2 linked regions of the Cricetulus griseus genome follow. The main gene of each other region encodes a partner of the protein of the gene in region 2 in a complex. Links are inferred from orthologs where the notes say so. Each region holds a gene or a part of one and is shown on either strand. Other genes may lie near its edges. The genes, in order: Acvrl1 and Bmp10.

The links.
Region 1: the proteins of Bmp10 (region 2) and Acvrl1 are in contact, whole or in part, in a crystal structure (PDB 6SF1), measured with the Homo sapiens proteins. The link is inferred for Cricetulus griseus from reciprocal best matches to the Homo sapiens genes BMP10 and ACVRL1. Residues at the interface, in NP_055297.1 of Homo sapiens: Tyr322, Asn357, Tyr358, Pro359, Ala361, Glu362, His363, Pro366, Thr367, Lys368, Ile371, Leu375, Leu378, Lys379, Ser381, Lys386; in NP_000011.2 of Homo sapiens: His40, Val54, Val56, Arg57, Glu58, Glu59, His66, Gly70, Asn71, Leu72, His73, Glu75, Leu76, Phe84, Val85, His87.

What each region holds. Positions count from the first base shown.
Region 1 is NC_048595.1:397,571,905-397,575,718, reverse strand, and holds part of Acvrl1 (serine/threonine-protein kinase receptor R3), read right to left. Parts: intron 1,007-3,814; 5' UTR 1,003-1,006; coding exon 939-1,002; intron 437-938; coding exon 185-436; intron 1-184. UniProt on the Homo sapiens protein: Type I receptor for TGF-beta family ligands BMP9/GDF2 and BMP10 and important regulator of normal blood vessel development. On ligand binding, forms a receptor complex consisting of two type II and two type I transmembrane serine/threonine kinases.
Region 2 is NC_048601.1:55,891,152-55,895,404, forward strand, and holds the start of Bmp10 (bone morphogenetic protein 10), read right to left. Parts: upstream 3,051-4,253; coding exon 2,717-3,050; intron 1-2,716. UniProt on the Homo sapiens protein: Required for maintaining the proliferative activity of embryonic cardiomyocytes by preventing premature activation of the negative cell cycle regulator CDKN1C/p57KIP and maintaining the required expression levels of cardiogenic factors such as MEF2C and NKX2-5.

The sequences.
Region 1 (3,814 bases), on a different chromosome or scaffold from region 2:
GACATTGAGTCCCAACTCCACCAGGCCAGCTCTCCTGACCCCGAGCCAGACCACTCTGACAGTTAGATCCCAGCATCCCGCCTCCCCACACCCTCTCTGTATGGGCCAGGGGGTGAAGAGAACGTGGGGCAGAGAAGACAGGGTCTGCAAAGATGGGGAAAATTAGAAGAGCCACTGGACCTACCCTCCAGCACCAGGGACACATTGTGGTTGCAGAAGGATCGATAGCAGCAGTGATGGTTATAAACCTCTGTGGGACGTCCCAAGCAGAGTTCCTGGTTCATGTTCCCGCAGCCCCGATAGACCTTGGGGTGCCCACCCTGCTCACGAACCAGCACCACTGTGCACCATGCCCCCTGGCAGGTTGACTTCTTGCAGTGTGGATTCTCACAAGTGCAGTTCACCAGCTGATCCCTGGAGGCCTTCACCCCGCCTCCTGGGAGATATATGAGAAATTCAGGCACTCTGAGGAGGCTATCCACTTCCTCCTACTGTCCCATCCCTTCTGATCTCACAGACAAAGCTCTCAAGCCTCCGTCCTTTAATTCCATGCCCTTACTGTCCTTCCCTCAGATCCTTATCCCTAACACGCAGGCAGTAGAGACTGGGAGAAGCCAGCTTTGGTCTACTGCCTGTGCTGGGACCTTCTCTCCCTGCTACAGGTCCTTCCCAGGTCCAGGGCTCTATGTGTTCACACACCTACTTCCTCCACCCAAGATGTAGGCGCTATCCTGCAAGGAATCTCAGCCTGCAAGTCAGTATCAAGGAGATAAAAGGTTGGATCAGCTAGGGAACTAGTCTATAGGAGCCTATGTCTACCATCCAGCCAGGCTCATGTTCTCACTTCCTCGGATCCAGCCCCAGCAGAAGCTGAGCTGAGCCTAGATAGCCTTCCTCCATTCAGGTCCCTGTTTCCACACTGCTCCTCCTGTACTCACCCTTGGTTAGGCCCAAGGCCACCAGCAGCATCAGAAGGCCCTTTCTGGGGATCTCTGAGGTCATGGTCCTTGGAGATAGGAGAAGAGATGCGGTGAGGTTTGCAAAATGTGACAGCTGTGGTGACCAAGGTCCCCTCCTACCAGGAGGAAATCACTGGGAGTTCTTTTGGGGGAGGCAGAGAAGCCACCTCCCCACTCCTACGTCAGGATTTAGGGTGGGGCCTGCAAGGGAAGTCCTGCTTCACTTCCCCATGGAAACCATCTGTTGGGGGTGAAGGGTGAAGAGCTGTGTTTAAATGATGAGAGCCAAAGGGGACCCCAGCTCTGTGCCCCACTGCTGGGTTCAGACAGAAGCAGGCTGGGGCGGGGGCTGCAGAAGGCACAGCTACAGTGGAAAGAACTTGTCTTTCCTAGCTCCCCTCTGTTCTCTGTCCTCTGCCATTTGCCAATCCCTCCGGCCTCCACCCCTGCCCACCCTTTCCCAGTGCCCCTCCACCTCCCATGCCTGGCTGCTTCAAACATAAACAGGCTCCTGTCTTCACTTCCTGCCATTCAGGGTCCCGCCAGGCCGGCAACAGGAATCAAGATTGTTTAGATTGAGGTCTGGATAGGACAGTCTGGAGTCACGCACAGCAGCAGGGAGCTGAGGGCAGGCTGGAAAAAGGACAGGGTCTAAAGGGCCTGCCTGAAGAGGGGACCTTAAAAACTATCAACCCCATCTCCAGTTTTATGTTTTTATTTTTTTTTTAAATTTCATTAGTTATTATTGTGTCTGTATTTAAGGGCCCGAGTGCCAAGGTACAAGTGTGTAGGTCAGAAGCCAAGTCTGTGGAGTTGGTTCCCTTCTTCTACCTTAACATGGGTTTTGGGAATCAAACTTAGGTCACCAAGCTCATGTGGCAAGCATCATTAGCTGTTTAGCCATCTCTTTGTCCCAGCTCTGGTTTTAGAGGAGGAAGTAAGGCTTATCCAGGGGAAAGACTGTCCAGGCTCCCTAAGAATCATCTAACAGTAACAGGAGTTAACACAGGAGTCTAGAACTCCCTCCCACACTGTTCCTTCTTCTCTGTGTCCTAAGCTAGTGGGTCAGCCCCTGTTTGCATCCTCAGGCTTGTAGCAGCCAGGCACAGCCTGAGAGTGCTGAGATGTCTCTCTGGCTTAGAGCCATCTGGGCCCCCTTCTCTCTTCTTGTCCTGGGAAAGGGTGGGGGGAGGGCCAGTGGCATAGGAAGTGAAACACACTTGGGCCCTGAATGTTTGACTTTGCAGAGTTGCCTCAGAAGTTTAGTGAACACTGGTAAGAGGAGTGATTATGGTATATGACAGTCAGGAACTCAGGACCCAAATCAACTAGGGCTTTAGGAGCTGCAGTAGTCTTCACTTCTCAAAGCCTCAGGACCAAAGGGTAGAGGGGCAGGTGTCAGACAGAAACACAGACTGTCTAAACGGTGGAGTGTACAGGCTGGATCCCCAGCTAGGGGAGCTAATACAAGGAGCATCCTGTGATGATAAGACATGAGAAGGGCTGGACATACATACATGTCCTGTAATGTGTCATGAGAAGTTCTGGACATACATGTCCTGTAATGTGTCATGAGAAGCTCTGGACATACATGTCCTGTAATGTGTCATGAGAAGCTCTGGACATACGTGTCCTGTTATGTGTCATGAGAAGTGCTGGACATACATGTCCTGTGATATGACAGGAGAAGGGCTGGACATACAGTCACATATAGACTACAGAGGTCCATGTTCTAATCTTGATACCAAACGTAGACCCAAGATGCTGAGGCTTTGGGAGCAGGATGTCTAGGGTCAGGCTGGGGGGCTTGGTGGGCCTTTCTGGCCAGTGACAGCCCTGGCCTTCCTGCCTGGGTTTCCTCTGCCCCAGAGGCCCGGCCTGGGGGAGGAAATAGAGACCTGGGCTGCTGCAGCTGTGTCCCAGCCTTTGGCTGACCCGCCTCTTGCCCCTGCTAGAAGCCAGTTAGGACTCTGGTAAGTACTCTACAGGGGTCCTGGAGATGAATGCAGAGGGCATGTCCCAAGGCCATGGGCAGGACTTCACTTGCTCAGAAAGTAGCTAAGGAGAGGCTACCAAATGCCCACCTCCCTAACTGCCTGTGTGTTCCCCTTGCCTCTCTACAGCATATCAGAACCTTATGCAGTGGGTTAGCTATGTAGATCATTTGGTCTATCACCAGTTTCAGGCTCCTATGCAGTCTGTCTGAGGCCAGCAAGAAACATGCTTTGGGCAGGGTACAGTGGTAATGTACCTATGATCTAGCACACTTCAAAGGCTGAGATTAGAGGATGGGGAATACCAGCCTCAGTTACATAATAAGACCATGACTCCAAAAATCAAGAAAGAAGGGGATTTAAAAAAAAAAAGAAAGAAACGCTGGGCGTTGGTGGCACACGCCTTTAATCCCAGCACTCAGGAGGCAGAGGCAGGCGGATCTCTGTGAGTTTGAGGCCTGCCTGGTCTCCAGAGCGAGTGCCAGGATAGGCTCCAAAGCTACACAGAGAAACCCTGTCTCGAAAAACCAATAAATAAATAAATAAACAAACAAATAAGGAAAGAAAGAAAGAAAAGAAAGAAAGAAAGAAAGAAAAGCATGTATTTGTAAACAGTTCCCCAGGGAGTTCTCATCCTTCTGGGTGTGCTCCAGGCTTTGAGAAAGGTGTCTGGCACAGAGCCAAACCTGTCTCCTGTGCTTTCATTCACTTCACAGAGCATTGCTGTGTGGATGGACATGGGTCACAGAGGGAAGGGATTCTTACTTCCTTTAGGTGCCTCCCCATCTCTGTGGGAAGAAAGAGTAACACAAGACCAGGGACTTGGTGACTCTGCGGCATGAGGGTAAACATGGGTGTGAG
Region 2 (4,253 bases):
GGACCTTCTTCTGATTCTTGGAAAGAAAGCCCTCCTGCATCGCTTCCCCTTCTCTACCTTGGGCCTCCCCCTCGAGACCTTGGCTCCTTTGAGTTCATCCCACTAGGGGTCACCTGTGCACTTGCTGTCTTGGAAACCCAAAGATGGGAGAGCAGGCTATTGCTCCTCCATGAGAGAAGTACAGAAAGAATGCTCTTTGGAATGGAGAAGCTTTGAGGGATCTTTACTAATTGGGGGGACCTCAGTGGATATTTACACTTGTAAACACTTAAATTATGCACATTAAATACATGCAGATTTCTATATATTAACTATACATCAATGAAGATGTGCTTTTAAAAAATAAGCTCATATTCAAGAGATTGAGACAGAAGGATTGTGAGTTTGAGACCAATCTGGGATTCATAGTAAAATATTGTATCAAAAGAAATTGTTTACAGTGTTTTAAATTTAAATGTGAATATTTCATGGCCAGCCTGGGCTACATGTGGTGAGTTCAAAGCCAGCTTAAAACAAAACAAAGCAGCACACACACACACACACACACACACACACACACACACACACACACACACACCAACCTTTAACTAAATAAAACCACATACAGTTCTTTGTATATGTGATAAGAGATCCATAGAAAAGTCACATTTTAGAGCAAGAGAATTAAGTCTGACAGATTTCACATGTCAATTGCTCTGCAAATTGTGTGACTGTCATAATGACGCCCACAATGCATACATGGATCTGATGCTAGTTCTGCACCAGAAGAAACCAAGCCTCCATGTATAGATCTGACTTCCTAGACAATACAGAGGATGGAACCAAGCTGAGAATTGAAGCCACGTTTTCCACCTTGCATGTGACACCCATTCAAAGATGAATTAGGTTTGGAGTACTCTTGGTCTTTGCCTCCTAGCTCATGTCACTGAGCAAACACAAAAGATGTATAGATGGATGACAACAGCCAACAGGGAGAGCCTGGTGAGGGGGACACATGTCCTCTGCTATATGAGTCTTCCTCTAGATTGTATAAGTGCAAGGGGGTGAATGGCTAGGTGTCCCCAAGTCTGATCTTCCCCCAGTAGTGGTAAGCTTGCTCACATTCTCACCTTTATCACCTGCTCTTCCATGTGAGGAGCACGAAATAAGAGTGGAATAATTCATTTCCACCAAGCCTGAGCTAGACCACATTCCCACTGTACCTGAGCTAGACCACATTCCCCTGTGCCTGAGCTAGACTGCATTCCCCCTGTGTCTGAGATAGACTGCATTCCCCCTGTGTCTGAGCTAGACTGAATTCTCCCTGTGTGTGAGCTAGACTGAATTCTCTCTGTGTGTGAGCTAGACCACATTCCCCCTGTGCCTGAGCTAGACCACATACCCCCTGTGTCTGAGCTAGACTGCATTCCCAACATGCCTAAGCTGGATCATGGCTCAGAGGAGGATGCTGAGACAGGCTCCTTCAGGAGGTTGCTCTTTCCCTCTTAGACTTGCCTTCAAAGGAATCTGAAATCTCTGCTTGCAGTTTCCACCAGAAATATGCTAGTAAATAGAAATGGTGGTGACCAGCTGAATTTTAAAAGCAAACACTATCTTGGTGTCTGAGGAATAACCATTCAGAGTTTACTCTAGCACCTAGAATATTAAGCAATTCATTAAAAGTCATCATGGTTTGCCCAGCACCTCCTAACAACAAGCCTTCTCTTGCCTCTAGCTGCTTGTGATTCACTTATCTGTGTCACAGAGTTTTACAGGGGGAAATTGGGGCTCCCATCCCTTAGTCACATCTTCCCAAGGCAGCTAGCTCTCAGCACTCCTGAGCTGTTTCATGATACCGCCTTCTGCTTCCAAGAGCATCTGGCAAACCTTGATCAAACCTCGTTTTTACTGGCCCAGTGTCTACGGAAGCACAATTGGTAAATAAACAATAAAGAGCCAGTTTCTCTATATCCACAGCCTCTATCATCAATATCATATTTTTTTCTACTAGTACCATATGAAGAAAGGGTTAGTTTGCTGACTCAATTAAAGATCTGAGGGGTAGGAATCTCAATTTGAAATTTGTACATCACTCTTCATAAAGTCACAGTCACAATAAGCTGGACTGTTAGCTGGGTCCTGTGCACTTCCTGGGGTCTTATCATGGCTCATTAAACACAAAGCAGCATTAGAAGAATCTTTCAAATGCAGTCCCCACTCTATCAGAACACTGCTTAAATAAAGTCACAATCGGAAACTCACCCAGAGTTTGGATGAAGCACAAACCCCACATTTCTAATTTCTTTTTATTGTTTTTACCATTTTTGATCTATGGAAAAGTTGGCAAATTGGCAAATTTTTATCAACCCCAGATAGAAATCAAGTTTTGTTTAGAAAGTAGCAGACAAGACAGAGCAACAGATCAACATTTATGGGTTTTTTTTTTTTTGATACTTAGTGTTCAGATTTTTTTGATACTTAGTGTCCACTATCAAGAACTGGTTCTTATGCTGGAATTTCTGGAATGAACCTTTTCTGATGCTGGAATGAACCATGGACATTTTGCGTTTTTTCGTTAATAGACATTTTATAGCGTTTTTGAAGTAGAACAGTTGATGTGCTGTGTCTGAGCCATGCATGTCCATGAGTTCATCCTCTCCCACGTGGATGTTTACTAATTGCTTCTTGAGAAAAAGCAAAGCCAAGGTTTCATAGGTGAAAACACAAGCCAGCTTACCTTCGTTCTTGAAGCTCCGGATGATGTTAGCAGATGGCATGGAGGTCCGGTCCGTGGCGAATTTGTTGTAGAGTTCTAGCATGTACTCTGGAGGATCCACTTTGGCTGTGTCCTGCTGGGGAATGTCGGACAGGTTCAACGTCTTGAGAAACTCATCCTTCATACTCTGTAGCAGTGTGTTGAAGTCCATACCGTCTTGCTCTGTGAAGATGTCGTCGAAGAAGGGCATGTCTTCTTCCAGGGGTGACTGCTCAAGGCCCATGATGGGGCTGCCTGAAACCGAGCAAGCCATCAGGCAGAAGACAGCGCTCAGCTGCAGGACCAGAGAACCCATGACTCTACTCAGCTCCCCAGCTCAACCTAGGAAGGTTTAACTCCTCTGGGCTCTAAGTGGCGGTTTTATCTTGTGGAGTGTAAATGTCTTATGTCACTGGACACGACACAAGTATGAAAACGCTTCCTCTTCTTCCCCTCCCCCTGCACTACTCCCCACCCCCCCGCCAAAAGTCAGGTTGCAGTAATTGGATAGCAAAATCCCCTATAGGGCCTAGCCTTTTCTTATCTCCCCAGTGTAAACTTGTACACCAGATTTCATTTTTATCTTGCAACCCCTTTTTCTTTTAATGAGCATTTTGTAAACACTTCCACATTCTGACACTGGTGAAGGATAAGACAATTTTCTCTTCACAAAGGCTCTGCTACTCTTTCTTTCACTTGACTTCCTTTTGGTAGGAATGTCTGGATTCTGGCCTTATGAGATTCAGTTTTGCACGTGTGTATGGCAGATATTAAGAGTCAACAGAATGCACTCAGTGGTGATGCATATTGATTCAAATGATAGGGATGTTCATATCTAAAGATGGACTAAATATCCAATGACTTCAAGTTAAGTAGATGTAAATGACTCAGAAACAAATTTTGAAGCATTTGCTTCTAGAAACAGGAAAGACTAAGAGTCACAGTCATTTTTCTACAGACTCGATCAGGCTGAAGTAAAGCCAGCACCAGATTATAATGAGGTTTGAGTGTAACATTGTGAGGAGCTTTGCAAAATCACATAATGTGTTTCATCTAATAACCCTGTTTTTATTCCTGTCATGTTCATGGGCTCCTGAGGTCATAATTGGTCAGAAGTCACCGAACTGTGCAGTTGTGAAGCCCCAGGTTGAGCCCAGGCTTTCTGATTACTGTGGAATAGAAACAGACCAACTTTGTAACCATGATTCCACTAGACCAGGAATTAGGAGTGATAGCAACTTGACTCTAGCCCAGCCTTGGATAGGCAGTAAGAAGGCAGGTAGCTAGGTGTCAATTTGGGTCCAGTGCTTGTGGTACCAGATATTTACATGGCCAAGATCTCTGTCAAGTTCACCTCCAAGACTAAGTCCAAAGCTCTATCAGCTTGCCCAACAGCATTACTAAACAGATAAAAAATGCCAAATATCTTGGTAAGGGGGTGGTGGGGCTGGTATAATTGATTGTGTGTCCACTTTAGGAATAACAAGTCAGGCTGAACATACAGTCCACACTAATTGGT